Linked DNA regions of Arabidopsis thaliana. The protein of the gene in region 2 interacts with the protein of the main gene of each other region in a biochemical or structural test. Each region holds a gene or a part of one and is shown on either strand. Other genes may lie near its edges.

The links.
Region 1: the proteins of RABA4B (region 2) and PUB13 interact in far-western blotting, tested with the Arabidopsis thaliana proteins (one study listed by BioGRID).
Region 3: the proteins of RABA4B (region 2) and PI-4KBETA1 form a complex in vitro, tested with the Arabidopsis thaliana proteins (one study listed by BioGRID).

Annotation. Positions count from the first base shown.
Region 1 is NC_003074.8:17,122,769-17,128,495, forward strand, and holds PUB13 (plant U-box 13), read right to left. Parts: upstream 4,130-5,727; 5' UTR 3,772-4,129; coding exon 3,502-3,771; intron 3,234-3,501; coding exon 3,117-3,233; intron 3,024-3,116; coding exon 2,574-3,023; intron 2,484-2,573; coding exon 1,338-2,483; 3' UTR 963-1,337; downstream 1-962. UniProt on the Arabidopsis thaliana protein: Functions as an E3 ubiquitin ligase.
Region 2 is NC_003075.7:18,541,021-18,548,078, forward strand, and holds RABA4B (RAB GTPase homolog A4B), read left to right. Parts: upstream 1-1,530; 5' UTR 1,531-1,701; coding exon 1,702-1,934; intron 1,935-2,317; coding exon 2,318-2,759; 3' UTR 2,760-2,958; downstream 2,959-7,058. Other genes in the region: DHS1 (3-deoxy-D-arabino-heptulosonate 7-phosphate synthase 1), read left to right, coding at 230-475, 561-812; AT4G40000 (S-adenosyl-L-methionine-dependent methyltransferases superfamily protein), read right to left, coding at 2,969-3,159, 3,236-3,470, 3,560-4,080, 4,158-4,431, 4,512-4,604, 4,681-4,766, 4,841-4,896, 4,984-5,240 and 7 more. UniProt on the Arabidopsis thaliana protein: Regulator of membrane trafficking. May be required for secretion of cell wall components in cells.
Region 3 is NC_003076.8:25,641,017-25,646,312, reverse strand, and holds the start of PI-4KBETA1 (phosphatidylinositol 4-OH kinase beta1), read left to right. Parts: upstream 1-1,834; 5' UTR 1,835-2,410; coding exon 2,411-3,967; intron 3,968-4,262; coding exon 4,263-4,454; intron 4,455-4,549; coding exon 4,550-4,598; intron 4,599-5,073; coding exon 5,074-5,206; intron 5,207-5,296. Other genes in the region: XYP1 (Bifunctional inhibitor/lipid-transfer protein/seed storage 2S albumin superfamily protein), read left to right, coding at 1-41, 286-312, 684-838. UniProt on the Arabidopsis thaliana protein: Acts on phosphatidylinositol (PtdIns) in the first committed step in the production of the second messenger inositol-1,4,5-trisphosphate. Necessary for proper organization of the trans-Golgi network (TGN) and post-Golgi secretion in root hairs.

The sequences.
Region 1 (5,727 bases), on a different chromosome or scaffold from region 2:
AATCTATTAAATCAACCCGCGTTTAAAGTGACTCCACTACACTCATCACAAGTGTAGAACCATTCTAGTGGCTACGGAAACGCTCATAACGCCCATAAGATAATTACGCATACGATCATCCTCCGCAACCATGCTTTCTCGATGAGGGGAACTTCCTCCTGTCTTGATGTCTTCCATTGGGCTCCACATATGTAACAAAATTTGTAGCCACATCTATATGATATCCATCAACCATGAACATTACGATACTGTTAATTACGTGAAAACATAAACAGATTCTAAAAGGATTAATTATAACAGATAGAGAATGTGAATATGTGATGATGATGATACATGCATGTTACTCTGATGCATCCATTAGAAAATTCAATCATTTGGTTGCAATTTCCACATTGACGCCACATATTCTGATTTGCTAAAGATTCGAACTTTATATCATCTTCTGTAGGATTTGGACCCAATCTCTTGTAATCTTCGCACGACAAGTTACTATGCCACGCATCTTTGCAGATGTTACAAAAGGGGTCACCGCATTGTAAACAGTATCTCATAGTTCCATCTCTGGTTTTCGACATTAAAGCCGAACACCTTGGATTTGGGCAATAAACTCATATCCTTACTTTGCTAAAATCTTAAACCCTAATTAAACAACCCCTTTTTGAATCTATTTGCACAATACATCTAGTAAAGTAGTTCGACATATATAATAATCTAACACTGGAAATGTATTTGATGTGTTCTATCTCTCTCTCTCTCTCTCTCTATGATCCGAAGGAATGGTCTCTACTTGTGATGAGTGTAGTGGAGTCACATTACATGTTATATTTGTGCTTGGAGACATATTTGTTCTATGGATTCTCTAAGAAATTTTAAAACGGGTTGAGATTTTACTATTTGATAGTTTTGTATACTTGTATTGAAACATTATGCATGGAATCTATCGACTCTACAAGCAGTTTACGCATCTGTTCATGAAAAATGGGAATCTGCATTATATTCAATTAGTATCTCAATGCTATTAAGAAAGCGAACAGAGAGATCTTGTATTGAAAACAAAAAAAAGCTCGTGGAAATGATTACAAACATAGTGTTACAATGATACAAGTTGACGTGTATGTATGCATATTTGCTTTTCTCTCCTGTGGACCAGATTGCTCTGTCCACACAAAGATATCACCATAAAGTTAAAAGTAGATCGGAGAAGGAGGCCATTTCCCTCTTCCGCGTCTACCGTGAATCCTACCTCGAGGGAGGATGAGTAGCACAAACAAAAAGTGAGAATAATAAACATACGTACGTGAAAGAGATGACCCGAGGATCCAAAACAAAGACAATCTTTAAGTATCTGCAGCTTCTGTGGTGGATTCTGGATGTGTTGGTTCAGCTTCTTCTTCCGGTTGTGACACAGCCGTTTCCTTCTGCTGTTCAGCGAGACGGCTGATGCGTTCAAGCAACTGCGCTGCTTTTCGTTTCCCTCTATCCGTCCCATTTCCAGCTAAATCTATCAATGGACCCATAAGGCCGAGTTTCTGCGCTTCGACAAGATGTTGTGGGTCTCCAGAACAGAGGTGGACTAGAACAGCAGCTGCGTTTTCTCTGTTTCTAGGCGAGCCAGTTCTGATAAACTCAACCAAACTTGGGACTGCATCAGAGGATCCTATGATTGCTTTTCCTTCGGGGTGGCTAGAGAGAATCGCCAAAATCGCGAGTGCCTCATCGACCATTCCGCTTCCGGGCTCTGTCAAGAGTCTAGTCAACGTGGGAATCACTCCTGCACGTATAGCTTTTCCTTTGTTTCCTTGGTATATACAGAGGTTAAAGAGTGCAGTAGCAGCATCTTTCTTGCCTCTTTGTGTACCTTCATTAAGTAATACAACGAGTGGCGGAATTGCTCCTAAGGCACCGATAGTCACTTTATTTTCATCGATCACTGATAGACTGAAAAGTGTAGCCGCCGCATTCTCTCTGGCCTCCATGCTTCCTTTCTTAAGCACTTGAACTATACCAGGAATAGCTCCAGCTGAAACAATGGCTCCTTTGTTGTTCTCACATATGGAGAGGTTTAGAAGAGCTGTTACCGAATGTTCTTGAATACGAGAATCAGGAGTTGAGAGGAGACCTACGAGAAGAGGTATGGCTCCAGCTTCGGCTATGGCCACGCGGTTGTCTGCATTTCGTTTTGCAAGAAGGCGGATTTCCCCAGCTGCAGATCGTTGGTCCTCGGGGTTTCCGTACGCAAGTCTCCACATAAGATCTTCAATCTTGTTCGCTTCTGCGGGAGATGAGAAGGACGATACTTTTCTGGGTCTTAAACTGCTCGGAGGCTTTGGAGGCTCAATATCGTTGGCCTCGCACCACTGAGCTATGAGACTACGGAGAACATAGTTTGGTGTGAGGGTTGTGCTTGTTAGCGCCTGCTGTGTTTTTGGACATGTCGAGTGTCCACCTTCTATCCATTTCTCAATACATGTGCGTTCGTATGTCTATACATAGAGGAGAACATGCTTCTATAATTAAATCTTAAGAGATCGCAGAAATAAATTTGAAGAAGCTGAGGTTGAAGTGAACTATACCTGCCCTGATGAAACAATAACTGGATCTCTCATCATTTCCAGCGAAATCGGACAGCGAAAATCATCAGGAATCACAGGTATCTTCTGACTCGCTGCCGTAGAAGTCTGTCCATTGCTTCTAGAGTTAACTCCTACTTTCTGCTCCTCGCCATTATCATCCTCCGTCTGCACAAAATCCTTAATCATCTTTAATACCATTGCCATCTCCTCAATATTTTCACCAACATCTCCACCGCTTGAAGCAACCATTTCATGCAGAGCCACTGATTCTTGAGCTAGGTCAGGAATCTCCATCAAATGTAACTTCTTCGCAACCCGCTCTAGCACAGGCTGATAAGCATCTACATCACTACTTTTGTTGCAAAGCGACTGAAGATCTTCATATAGCTCATCATCTGATACATCTACTCTTCCTTTAGCTCGCCGAAACTGACTAAGAACCAGCTCAACCTACAACAACCAAAAAAACGCTATGAATCAACTACATGTCGTCTTTACTGATCCAGACACTGGCCTAGCCAGCCTTGGGTTTCAAGAATTTACCTGTTCTCTAACTTCATCCGATATATCGAGTTCTTCATATGGAATCTGGCTTAAAGATTGTTCTAACTTAACAGACACCTCCATCAATTTACTTGTCACTTGTTCCCTCTCCATCACCTACACACAGAACAACAACATCTCTTGTGTATCAGAGCACAAATTCTCAACAACTTCCATAGATCAATCAAGTCACATCAACCACTACCAAATCTAACATCTAATCAAATACCAAAGAAGCATTGATATCACTCAAACACTACCATAGCAAAACAAAGCACGTGGCTCTCTCATTCAATGAAAACACCAATTCGTCAACGAGAACAAAAATTCTCAGTGACCACACAGATCTAATCATAGATGCTAATAAATCGAAGAAGAAACGCACCAGATAAATCTTGCTCCCTTGGCTACAAAATTTGAGATAATCCTTCGCTGAACACATAGCTTCCTTCAAATTCATCAAAGTCTTCAACGTATCTTCGCTGATCGGTTCGTTACTTTCTCTAATTTCCTCAAACATAGGAACAAGCAGCTTTAATCTCCTCGCTAGATTATAACAAAGCTTCTTCACTGTTATACGATAATCAGAAATCGCAGCAATCTCGTTAACTACATCGATTAAGCTCTGTGCAGCAGAAGCTTTCTCTTCCTCCATTGAATTGATTCTTCTCTGTTTAAAAATTCACGATTTACGGATCCGTTTTTCCTCCGGAGAAGATGGAGATCTTTCCCGATTGAGACTCCAGTGGCGAGATTGAGCTTAAAGGAAGAAGAGAACCATTTGCAGAAAGTGCGAAAGAGAGAGATTTCTGAGAAAGAGAGATTGTGTGAGAGAGAAGACGAGGACTTTTCGAAAACGGCGTCGTTTAGCTGACGGCTTTAGCTTATTGCAACTTGTACGATTCTCTCGGCTTAAGAACTAAACCGGAACAAAGGTAAATTCGACCACGAAGCCGCGGGACCGGTTACGATTGTGTTTGTTTTATTTTTTACATTAATATATTATATTATCATTTAAATTATTTCTCTATAAAATTACTAATTTTCTTGTGAAATTTTGAATATTTTTCAACTATTATATTTTCACGGATTGAATATACGAATTTTTACGGATATAGTGGTCACTTTTTTGCTGTAGTTGGTGACATTTTTGGGGTGTCATAGAAGAACAAAATTGTTAATGCATTTATAATTTTGGATTTAGTGATAATTGAAGAATTAAAAAGGTTTTATACCTCTATCTCTCTAATCATGCAAGAAAATATTTTAAAAAGAAAAATTAAAAATAGTTCAACTGGACAACGAAATTATCCTAAAATAGTTATTTCTTTTGATCTAATCCTTCTTCTTTTAAACTTTTTTTTACTTGTTTCTACTCTACATGTTTCTTGTTATTAGGTAAAGTATTAGGCTCTTTTTTTAAAAAAAATGCTTAATCCTCTGGGTACCTCGAAAAGGGAATAATACTCTAGTTAGATAAGTGCAGCGATCAACATGACAAAATGAATGAATGTTTGCTTTAATTGGTGGCTAAAAGCTAAATACACAGAAAAGTCAAAATTCAATCTCAAAATCAACCCCTCTGTCTCCAATGTCCCTAATCTATACCAAAATGTCAATTTATTTTCTTGATCATATATTCCACTAATTAAAAATAAATCCTTCTCTAATGAAATTTGTCAAGGCCTTGGAAGCCTAGTTTTAAATATTAAATGGAAACTATTTCTTCAACAATCACACTGTTATTTAGTATTGTTGTATGTTGTTCACTACTTTCTTCATTTGTTTTGTAAGAAACTATAATAAGCAAAAACACATAATAAAGTCTCATGTCAAATAATGAATCTTATGCACATGCTTGATTATTTTACTTGCACATATCCCTATCATCATTATCACATTTGTCAATTACCGTTATCATCATTACTCTCATTCTTCCCAGAACTTTTTCAGCAATTTCCATACCTCACCCACTAAGATCTTTTACCCTTTTTCTTAATTATAGTTTGGATAGCACTCTTTTACATAGCACTGAAATTTCGGTTGAACACATAAATTACTAGAAACTAGAAGGAAATGTTACTGAAATTTCACTGATTGTCTAAAATTGAATAATCTAAAGAAAATGGCCTTTTAACCTTTTTCTTAGGCCCAAATGGGCTCATTACCACTCATGCTTGTTCGGTGACCCGATTCTTCCGGTAAAACAGAGCCTAAACCGTATTTTCAGGTTAGGCTGGTGTTTTCTTAATTCTCCAACCTAAAAATAGATGGACACGTGTCTATAGAGGCTGAGATATTGGTCTCAATGAAGAAAACTAACGGCTCAGACCCGTGTATGAACGATATTAAGGGCCAAAGTTGCTTCTGTTTTCCAGAAATTTTTGAAACCCAATTTCAGGGCACGATTCCACAACCTCTTTCTTTTCTTCTAGATCTACGTAAATTCATCAGGTACATGTTATTTTTTTTGTTTATTTGATGTCAAAATTTTGATCACAAGGAGGCAAAACCAATATAAATGTAACGCTAATGCGTTTGATTATGGTATACGTAACGAATTAGATTTAATGGTTACATTTTATTGTTTTAGATTTAGTTATGAGATTGG
Region 2 (7,058 bases):
CTTTTGGTTTATGATAAAGCAAAACAGAGTAACATTTGAGAGGTTTATGCTTGGTCTCGTAGCATTTTTTGTTTTTTTCTTCTCTTATCTTGCAAATCAGACGGTTGATTTTGATTGTCTTTTCTTCAGTGAGAGACTGGTAGCTGGTTTGATTTGCCACTGAATAACGAGAGTTTATTAAGTTGAGTTTTAAGCGGAATCGATTGAATAACCAAAACTCTTGTTGCAGGTGAGCAACAAAATGGATCCCTTTGAGCTGGTTAAGCTAGTAGAAATCCTGAATCCTAATAACAAGCCTGGAAGAATCACTGTAATTGTGAGAATGGGTGCCGAGAACATGAGAGTTAAGCTTCCCCACCTGATCAGAGCAGTCCGCAGATCAGGCCAGATTGTGACATGGGTCTGCGATCCAATGCATGGAAACACCATCAAAGCACCTTGCGGTCTTAAAACACGTGCCTTTGACTCAATACTGGTACACACTTTATAAGCTAAACCTCTCATAAGCGTAACATAGATTTGCCATAACAGAGATTTAAACTTCCTGTCTTTTTCTACAGGCTGAAGTCCGAGCATTCCTTGATGTGCACGAGCAAGAAGGAAGCCACGCGGGCGGTATCCATCTCGAGATGACAGGTCAGAACGTGACAGAATGCATTGGAGGGTCCCGCACTGTGACCTACGATGACCTCAGTTCTCGCTACCACACACACTGTGACCCAAGGCTGAACGCGTCACAGTCTCTTGAACTTGCCTTCATTGTTGCAGAACGGCTCAGGAAGAGAAGAACGGGTAGCCAGCGTGTGTCTTGAGTCCGGTTCTTCCCTTTTATACACTTTTTGATTCCAAACAAATCTTTTCTCTTTGTCCTGTGACTGTGAGTTGGTGTCTTTATGACCTAAGTTAAAAGCCCCAAAAGCCTCTCTAGGAGGAGTAAACCTGTTTCTGCTGTGGACAGACCATGTCATGTCATTGTTCTTTATGTTAACTTTAATGTCAAACCGTGTCACTTACACTAGTGTATATTTCTTTTTACATATCTACACGAACATGAAACTTGTCTTCTAGTTAGTACTAAAGATTGATCTTCGTCTTTCGGCTATTCGTAAACTAGAAATGAACAAATCTTTAGAAAACGATCTTCCAAAATGGCCCATTAGCTCAGTTGGTTAGAGCGTCGTGCTAATAACGCGAAGGTCGCAGGTTCGAAACCTGCATGGGCCATTTTTCATAATATCTTTTTTTTTCTTCTGAGTTTCGTCGTAAATAAACAATCCGACGCCGACGGTTTTGGGACCCCCCACTAATCAATATCGTGTCCCGCTCACTTAACCCAAAATATGATCCCCTACGTACCTCTTTACTCTCTTCTGGTGCTCCCAACAACCATACTTCGTCTCGATTTCCATCACGTGTTCTACACTTCTCTTTATTCCACGTGTCATGATCTTGGCTCATAGTCACTCTCAATTACCAAAGACTCTCACACACTAGATCATACAATAACACAACAATTTAAATCAAGCAGTCAATAATCAGCCAACTAGCTTTTTAATTTTCTCTACAATTCCTCTGTCGCTCTCACCAGTTAACAGCTACAGCACAAAACTGTAACCACGCTTCCGATCTCTAAAACCTGAGAGAGAGAGAGAGAGAGAGAGAGAGAGACAGAGAGAAGTGTTTCAATAGTTTGGCGTGAAGATGGCCGGAGGAGGCGGATACGGCGGCGCATCGGGGAAAGTTGATTACGTCTTCAAAGTTGTTCTAATCGGAGATTCGGCTGTTGGGAAATCGCAACTACTTGCTCGATTCGCTAGAGACGAATTCAGCATGGATTCTAAAGCCACCATCGGCGTCGAGTTCCAAACTCGTACCCTCTCCATTGAACAAAAAAGCATTAAGGCTCAGATCTGGGATACCGCTGGTCAGGAAAGGTACGATTTCTAAGATTCTCTGCGTTTTGGAATCTTAATCCGAAGAATTTTACTGGATCTGTAAATGTTTCCATGAAAGCGACTTGGTTTGACTAGAAGATGTTGCATAGATTTGTTTCCTATTTTGTACATCTACTTTATCTTGACCAGATCCTGAATTTGTTATCATCGAAATGTATACTTGTATTTAGTGTTTTATCCGATCGAACGATAAAGGGAATCTGGAAAATCATGTGTAGGAATAATGCTCCATCTCAATTTTAATCAGCATCATGTGTAGGTTCGAGATTTTGTGTGATTTTTAGCTGATTTGAATCAATTTGGAACAGAAGATTTGGAATCGGTCTTTCGTTTCGTGACTTTGCTTTTGTTGCTCTTAGCAGATACAGAGCCGTTACAAGCGCATACTACAGAGGAGCAGTTGGCGCAATGCTGGTTTATGATATGACGAAACGTGAGACCTTTGAGCATATTCCGCGTTGGCTTGAAGAACTGAGGGCGCACGCTGATAAGAACATTGTCATCATCCTTATTGGAAACAAGTCTGATCTAGAAGATCAAAGAGCTGTTCCCACTGAAGACGCTAAAGAGTTTGCTGAGAAGGAAGGACTCTTTTTCCTCGAGACCTCTGCTTTAAACGCAACCAATGTCGAAAACTCCTTCAACACTCTAATGACTCAGATATACAATACCGTGAACAAGAAGAATCTTGCATCTGAAGGCGACTCAAATAACCCCGGTTCATTGGCTGGTAAGAAGATTCTCATCCCAGGTTCTGGACAGGAGATTCCCGCTAAGACCAGCACTTGTTGTACTTCTTCTTGATCTGTCTCCTACTCAAGCAAGATTCATTTTTTTTCCTCCTGAAATTTGTGATAGAGAATGCTACTTTCATTGTATATTCTTTTTCGAATCTGGCTTGTTTGCTAGTTCATTAAACATTGGTGTGCAATTGGACACCGATAGAAAGTATTGGAACAAATAGCTTTTGAATGAAATATGAAACAAACAGTCTTTGAGAGTTAACGTCAGCTTCAAGCTGTCTCAGCAGTCTTGAAACAGTTCTCAGCTTTTTCTTTTTCTTTACTTCTATCAGAAAGCCTCTGGATAAGTTGGTGACAATCGACTGTTGTGACCATAACGGTTAAGCTAGCCTTGCCCTTCCAGCATCCAATGGCTATTGTTGATGAATTCACTTTGAATTGTTCTGACCCGAGCTGAGAATCTGTAGGAAGCACAAACAGTTAAAATCATATCCCACATGACCAACCAAAAGTATCTTATATAAAACCGATACACACCATCAACGAGAACCATAACGCAAGATCCCAAGGCTAGTTCTGCTGCTTTCTCACCAATCTGTGGATGTATGAAATCTAGAAACTTGATTGATTTGTGTTGCAGGAGATTCTTGAAATCCGCCATTGTTGCATAAAGTATTTGCTTGGTCATGTACGGAAGGATCACAGGCAATCCCTCTGACGTTATTCGGAATGAGCAACAGTTGGCTTCACATTCTTTTGCAGATTGTTTCTCCTGCGTTTTTGGTTAGTTAATAAATACCGCCTCTGCTATATTTGTATTTGATCAAGAGAGAGAGAGGGATGAAACTATATTGTACTTACAAACATCTTGAGGCCAACAGAGGAGATCTTGAGCGGCTTCCCAACTGCAAAATTAAGCTCAAGAACATTCTTAACTGCTTTCGAAACATAGTAAATCCTTTTCACGTTTCCGTGGCTGCTTATGTCGCTGTTTCTAGTCACGAGATGACCATACAGCGGAAACGATTCATCTTTAATGCCGTAAAATGTCTTGATCCCGTTGATCCCTGTTTGATCTCTCAAGAAAACAACAGGGTAAAGGCCTTTCCACTTCCCTTGCATTGATGGTACTTCTCTCTTGCCTTCTATATCATCAAGTTTTTGAGCCAATTCTACGATACCTTCATTCCAGGTGCTTTCCATCTCCGGCGGCTCAAAGCCATTCTCTGAAACTGTTGCTTCTAAAACTATTTCCTCTGTACCCTCTTCAGGTTTAGTAACCACAGTGTCAGATACTGCTTCATACGAAGAAGACTTCTCAGATGAGTTGATGTTGTTTCTAGTAGACAAATTCCTTTTCTGAGTTACTTTCTCCTGAAAGTCTGCAAGAAAATGATCCGGAATTCGTATTAAGGAATCAACTAGAGAGGTTATGCAACAGAAAGTTCTTCTAATTCACCTGGTAAAGGTGAAACTTTGTGAAGGACTGCAATGAAAAATCCCCCAGTGTTTTGATCATGAGGCAGTATCCTCATACAAAGTTCAAGGGGAAGATCACAGACTTCTTCGGCTGATTCATCAGAAGAGATAGAAGCCATTTCTTCATAGCTGTTTTTGCCACCCGATGAGTCTTTATCACTTTTACCAGAAGGAAACATGCTCCTAAGAACTCCGTCTCTCTGTGACTTTGGAACATCTTTGTAAGATCTATACCAGCCACCTCTGTCATGCACCTGAATCCACACAGATACAAACCATGATTAAAGCTTCATTACTACTCATCCTTACTTCAAAGTAATAGGTAATTTTTTACCTTCCATTTCGTAAGACCTGGTCTTCTAATAAGTTCTGGAAGCTTATCTGAGACATCTACAAGCTCAACAGAGCATCCACATCTCCTCAGAATCTGAAGAATACTAACAATATATCAGTATCCAGAAGAATAGGTCAACGGAGAAAGAAGAAAGAAACTATCAAATTACTTCAGCAACAACAGCTTCATCTTCAATTGGGTTCATTGAGCAGGTTGAGTATACCATTCTCCCACCAACTTTTAGCAGAGATAAACCTGAAACCATACAATGCAGATAAAAATCAAAACATAAGATTCTGAGACTCGGATCATCTGAGAAAAAAGCTTACCTCTCATGGCAAGCACAACCTGTAGACTATGAAGTCCATTGCCAGATCCAGAATTCCTGTGCAGAAACCGAGGAAAACAAGTAAGAATCTTGAAGCAATTGGAATCAACACATGTCAATTTAAAAACTCATAAATAGAGAAACCATCTTCGCCATATGTCTGGAGCCTTGCGCAGAGTACCATCACCACTACACGGGACATCACATAAGACACGATCAAAAAGAAGCTGATCGATGGGATGAGGATTAGTCTCAGATGCTACAGACAAGGTTCTCTTGGTGTTGCAACTGGGGAAATGTTGACCTTCGTTGTTAGTGACCATCAAATTGGTCGTACATGTTCTTTTCGTTTGGTGAATAAGAAGATTAGATCTTTTATAATCAACATCATTCGCCACCACCTGATTCAACCAAACAAAATTAGAAATAAACATGATCTATCAACCAAAAAAATGAGTAAAGATGAGAGAGTATTACAAACCATTCCATTAGGTAGAGATCCTGGTTCTGATGATTCATGTATTATTTCAAGCAGCTGAAATGTCTTGGAACCAGGTGCAGCACACACTGTTCAGACAAGTGAATCAGTTAACTATATTACTCCTCAAGTCCATAGCCATCTGTAATAATGTCGAATACAGTTCACTCACTGTCGAGAACAAAATGATCTGGATGTACATCAAGGAAGAGAGGAGGTACCTACGTAATCATAAAAGTCACCACGAAAACTATAAAATGTACCGATGAATGTCATTAAAGAATGTAACACAACCATACCATGCTAACTGATTCTTGCCTGGTCATGTTCCCAGCTTCAGTTTCTAACTTAAGAAACTCATGAAACCTGAATAAGACAAGTAAGCGAATGGAATTGAATACTTGTTCTGAAGCAACTGGCATGAAAATGTACCTCTCAAGTGTCTGGTTTTTCCTAATCTCCTTGCGTGAAAAATTAGAATGCCAAGCAAGATTCTTAGGATACCAAGGCAGAGGCTTGATAGCCTCCAATTCACCACTCTCTATAGCCTAAGTAAGGAAAACAAATCTGAGTGCTTCTTATTAATGAGAGACTATAAAAGAGAAGAGTCATGAATTAACCTCAGCCTGAAGAGATATCATGAAATCATTCTCCAATTTCAGTCGAATCTCATCACAAAATTGACCACTGAAGAATCATAAACAGAGACCACTTACTTAGTCAAACAAAAAAACTTATACTTTGAAGGATACTAAATGAAGTAAGGATACATACTTGGAATAAACTCTGAAAGCAGCAGGTAATGGCTTACGAAGAAACTCCATAAACGAATCCCACTCTTGAGCTTTCACTATTCTTTGTTCCTTATACACACCGCAACAATGTTGATTAGAAGAAAAGTTTCCAAATCCATGCAAGTGTCATTGATTCTATACAGGTACCTTGTAATACTCCTCAAAATGAAGATTTGAGCAGATGGGCTTTTGCAAGTTGTTGGAATCAAAGGAAGCTTCGGATTTGAGGGGTTTTCGAACATTGTCGTCGTTGCTATTTTCGATTTGATTTCTCTTCGAAGTTGAACCTCTGTGTCGTCTCCCTCTTCCCATTTTTGTTGTTACCGTCGCCGAGTTTTTTTGTTTTCGCCGGAGGCGTCACAGCGCCGATGGGTTTTATGGGTTTTTAAACTAAAATTGATTTCGGTTTGGTTTACATTGCTTTTGAGAAGAAAATAAATAAATAAGACACGCGACATAAAGCATGCTTTGGGCTTACGACTGGGCCGATAACCATATCTTCCAGCCGTCTTAACACTGAAAAGCCCAATACGTTTTGACTTCTCTGTTTCTTGCTTTTTAAGCCAATGACTCTGTTTTTTGACTTCTCTGTTTCTTTTACATGTTGTGAGTGACTTTTACAGAAAAAAAACAGTTCTCATTGTCCGCATCACACGTGGATATCCTCGCAGACATTTTCTCTTGCGTTGCGTCTCACGCACAGCAACTAAACACCGACACAGTCCTTAGAAGGAAGTTCAAGAGAGCATGCTCTCTAGTCTCTCCAAAACCTAACAGAGCCTCAACTACTTAACTTCGAGAACGAGGCTTACAAAACCTACATGATGTTCCTCCAATACATGGTTACTTGCAATCCAAACGTCTCCAAAGAACTAGATCTCGAGTCTCTTCTAGTCACTGAATGCGCAAAAATCGTGAAGATCTACCTTAAATGCACAGATCCACAG
Region 3 (5,296 bases), on a different chromosome or scaffold from region 2:
CGCATGCAAGCTTCACGCTCCTTCTATCGCTACTTGTGGATGTAAGATCTATTCATTTCTTAACTTGTTTGTTTCTTAGATCTCTTCCGGTTTTGTAGATCTTAATTTGTTATGCTTAATCTTCGAGAGCGGTTTCTTAAATCCACATTTTTTCTAATTTTTTCAGTTTAATTAAGAAAATAATTTGTAGATTTTTCGAAACTGTTTTAAGATTCTATTTTTTGTTGTTGTTGATGTTGATTAAATTACTTATAATGCTTTTTTATTTTATTTTTGTTCTTACAGTGTCTGTTGCTCCAAGTACTGCTCCAGGTATTTTGTCTTTCTTCTTGGTTGATTTTTAATTTTACTCTTAAGTTTTGTCTCATGCAATGCTTTATTGTGTTTTTAAATTCCCACTTGAAAATTTTGAAAAGATAAAAATTGTCGATTGTTTGACTTTGATCATCTGGGTTCTCACTTAAAGTGAAAATGATTTATCTAAGATTCTACAATACAAAAAATTATAATTAATACGAACCATGACAAAAATTTGTGTGAATTCCTTATTTGTGATTTTCTTTGTAAAAATTTGCTCGAGTGATTGGAAATCTCTGCTCTTTTTCTCCATGTTAGTTATGTGATTTCTCGTTGAGATGTTTTACGCTTTTGAGATTTCTTAATGTGGAACCTAATTTTATCAGGTCTTGCTCCAGGAGTAGCTGCTGCTGGACCTGAGACAGCCGGATTTCTAGCTCCAAATCCTTCTTCAGGGAACGATGGATCTTCTTTGATTCCGACCTCGTTCACAACTGTACTCAGTGCCGTACTGTTCGTTTTGTTCTTCTCTAGTGCGTAAAAAAAAACCTGAATCTTTTTTCACCAGCTAGATTTGGCTGTATGAAATTGATTAATGGTTTTTATTAGGGTTAATCTATGTATGTTTTGGAGTGTTCTGTTTTTAGACCATATCGGTTTCTCTATTACTAGCGTTTACTCTTTTAGTTTATGTTATTACTTTGTCTCACAACATTGGTCCTTTTATTCGATCTATCGCTTATTCCTTCATCTATGTTTTCTCTCACACCCTCATAGTTATATTCGCCAAAAGCTCAGGCAGAAACATTCTCAAAGTCCACTATACAAAAAAGAAATACTACAAGTAACATTTATATATTCTTTTTAAGAAAATTATGGTGTAATATTGCAATGACTAACAACAAAATTCTTTAATTTCGTTTTAATTTTCTCATAAAAACTGTGTAATAAAATACAGGAAATCATATGATATCATTTTAGTAGATGAAATTTTCTCATAATATCGTCATTGTCAGTAAGTAAGTCCCAACTTTTTGTCAAGAGTATCATATTTATATTTTGTTACAGTGTAGTTTGACTATAGTACCAATTACAACTTGTTCTATGAAACGAGTACAAAATTTCTTCATCTGAAAAGGAAATGCATGTGTTAAGAAAATTAGAGACGTGAAAGTGAAAGGAAACAAAATGTTTCGTGGCATCGTGAAAGATATAAATATATATCGTATTTTTTAAAAATCAGATTATTACTTCTTGTAATTAGCTTATCAGATTCAAAATTCAAAATCTCAATAGTAATAATCTTTTGAAAGAAAATAATGAAAAATCAACTGTCAACAAAAGTTAATCAACTGTCCAAGTGTCCCGTTGTGGACAAATCACGTTTACTTCCCACCAAGGATTTTCAACTTTATTATGATCGCGTGGACTTTCCAGCGCACGTTAGATCTCCTCCCTCGCCAAACCAAAATAATAATTAAATAGTACGAATTACTAAAAACCAAAAAATTAAAATTAATAAAAAAATGAAAATAATTTAAAAGTATTGCGAACGATAATTACTTTCCCCTCTCTCTCTCTCTCTCTGTCTGCCACCAACAGCCGAGGACGACGACCGTATCTTCCACCACAAACTGCTTCCGGCTGAGACGACGGCGATCTACTCCGGCTAATTCTGTTACTTGATTCTGCTCTGAATTTTAACAAGCAGAATTTCTCGGATAGCAGGAAGAACGGGATTAATTAGCTCATCGCTTGGTTCTCTACGTGAGATTTAGTTTTGGATTCTGGAGAAATTTCCGATCGCCTTCGGTTTACGGCGATTGGAGTGAGTAGGATACGGAGAAATCTCTATTTTCTGTGTTTTTTTCGCGATTTAGGAAAGTTAAGCATTATAAAGCCAAATTTCGTCGATTTGGCATTGAGATTTTGAGCTTTGGGTGGTTATAGATAGGTTTTTTGAGTTAAGGTTTTACGGGTAATCCTAGGGTTTAGTTATTGGGGAAGAGAGAGGCTCCGTTAATCTGGTTTGTTGGAAGAGTCTCCTGGATCTGTTGTCTCGACGGATGATTTGGGTCTGTGAGCTAGGGCTTTTTATGCTTGGCTGATTAGGATGCCGATGGGACGCTTTCTATCTTTGGTCCGAGGAGACTCGGCTGAGTCACCTCGTGAGATTACCTCACAGAGTAATATCATCGGCGATACTGGTTCTAATGGTTGGCTTATTAGGTTTTTCGATTCTGCTTTCTTCTGTGAGTGGATTGCTGTTAGTTATCTGTACAAGCACCCTCATGCTGGTGTTAGGGATTACTTATGCAATAGGATGTATACGCTTCCCTTATCAGGTATTGAGAGTTATCTCTTCCAGATTTGCTACATGATGGTGCACAAACCAAGCCCATCGCTTGATAAGTTTGTTATAGACATCTGTGGAAAGTCACTGAAAATCGCACTGAAAGTGCATTGGTTTTTGTTGGCTGAGCTGGAGGATGCTGACGATAATGAAGGCATCAGCAGGATTCAAGAGAAGTGTCAAATTGCAGCTACTTTGATGGGTGAGTGGTCTCCTCTCATGCGTCCACAGAACGAGGTCTCAACCCCAGGGAGCAAGAATCAGGTCCTAAATAGACTTTTGTCATCAAAACAGAAGCTCTTCTCCTTAAAGCTATCTCCTCCCACCCAGAAGTCTTTGTCATTCTCACCTTCGCCAGGGACCAACGTGCAGGATGATGGTAGTCAGTTACCTGCTGAGGACAATAAGATTTTTAAGAAACTTATCCCAAGTCCTAAAGTCAGAGATGCTTTAATGTTTAGAAAGTCAGCTGACAAAGATGATGAAGAGAGTGAAAAGGAAGGATTCTTCAAGAGGCTCTTGAGGGACAGCAAAGGTGAGGGTGATGAACCAATACCTAACTCAGAGGGTTTCTTTAAGCGCCTTTTGAAAGACAATAAATCAGAAGATGAGGACATAACAAACAGTTCCGAGGGGTTCTTCAAGAGGCTCTTGAGTAGTAAAGGAGAAAGCGAGGAATTGACATCGAGTTCAGATGGGCTGTTTAAAAGGTTGTTACGAGATAATAAGGGAGATGAAGAGGAATTGGGTGCAAATTCAGACAGTTTCTTCAAGAGATTGTTACGGGAGAGTAAAAACGAGGACGAGGAGTCAAACCCAAACTCAGAAGGTTTTTTTAAGAAATTATTCCGTGACAGCAAACCTGAAGATGATAAAGTTCCTAAAGAAGTGGATGATGAGGACAAAGATGGGTTCCTTAAGAAACTTTTCAGGGAAAAAAATGATGACAAAAGACATGGTAGTGAAAAGAATGAAGCCAATGGAACAGTGTATGCCGATAAGAAATCTGGTGAAGAGGATGAGAGGGAGGGGTTTTTCAAAAAATTCTTTAAGGAAAAATCTGATGACAAGAAAGACATTGTCAAGGTTGATGACGGGAATGAAAGTGAGGGTGATGAATCTCCAGAATTTTCTCTTTTCAAAAGATTATTCCGTATACATCCCGAAGATGCAAAACCTACTTCAGAAAATGAAAATAGCAGCAATGGCTTAGTTGAAAGCAGTCCTGGGACAGAAAACTTTTTCCGCAAGTTGTTCAGAGATCGTGACCAATCTGTTGAAGATTCTGAACTGTTTGGATCAAAGAAACACAAGGAGGTTTGTTCTCGTTTGACTTGGTCTTTTGTGTTTCTGTCTTATTGCATATACTGGTTGCATTTGCACTGTTTTGACATTCAGTTTTCATTTGATCCACATCTTCAGAGTCATTTATCAAGATTCTTGTAGGATACAATCATATGTCTTTCCTTCTTTTGAATTTTACTTGACACAAATGTTGGCTGAAACAGGGTGGTTGTTCGACTTCAATTGATTATTTATCTATGCCAGACTTTTTTTCTTTCATATGAGCTTGATTATCTCATACCAATGTTTCTTATTATAACCATTGCAGAAACGGCCAGGCTCACCTAAACAGCGGGATGATACTCCATCTGGTAAGCCCCCGCTACCAAACAATACTGCATCACAATTCAGGAAAGGGGCTTACCACGAGTCGTTGGAGTTTGTACAAGCGTTATGTGAAACGTCATATGGTTTGGTAGATATCTTTCCCATCGAAGATCGGAAGATTGGTCTTCGGGAGGTGAAACTGACTTTTCTTATTGATAATTAAATTTATGTCAAATTCTACCTTTGTAGCAACTGACTAAATTTTATATTTCTTTTGTTTGGTTTTAGTCTCTTGCAGAGATCAATTTTCATTTATCGGAAGCTGAAATCACTGGAGGTATTTTTCTAAAATTATATTTTAAGAGTTATTATTTGGAGGTCTACTTTATATGTGTAGCTCAAATATATTGAGCCGGTATATATTCTATAGGCCATGTATGCTTTTCTCTGAAATAGTATGTGAACGTTTCATGCCCTGTTAAAGTTTCTGAGTGCTCATCGTGTTGCTTGTCTTAAATTAGTATTATGTCCGTTATATCATATTTATTTCCACTCTTGTTTGAAGAATCTATGTTTTTCCATCCTTGCTCTTTTATCACTTATTTTCCTCTCTTGTATAGGATTTCCTTGGACTTGTGTTTCTTTCTTGAGAGAATTATCTGGTCCAATCTTTTTGGCATCTAAACCTCCGCGTTTTTAAGGATTATTGAATTCTTTATTTTATATTTCGTCAACATTGTTTCTGTTGTGGTAAATGTTTTTGTTATCAAATTGAATTTCTATTCATAATTTAAATTCAAATAACCTTCCAGGAATTTGTTTTCCAATGGGGAGAGGAGTTTTTCGTGTGGTCCATATTCCTGAAGACGAATGCATTCTTTTGAATTCTAGGGAAAAGGCGCCATACATGATCTCCGTAGAAGTTTTGAAAGCAGAAACACCCAGGTAAAATCTACTTCTTTTAATAGGAAGTTACCTTCTTTTTTATATCCCATTAACCATACGAAGTGTGAAACTTTTCATGATAAAACTCTC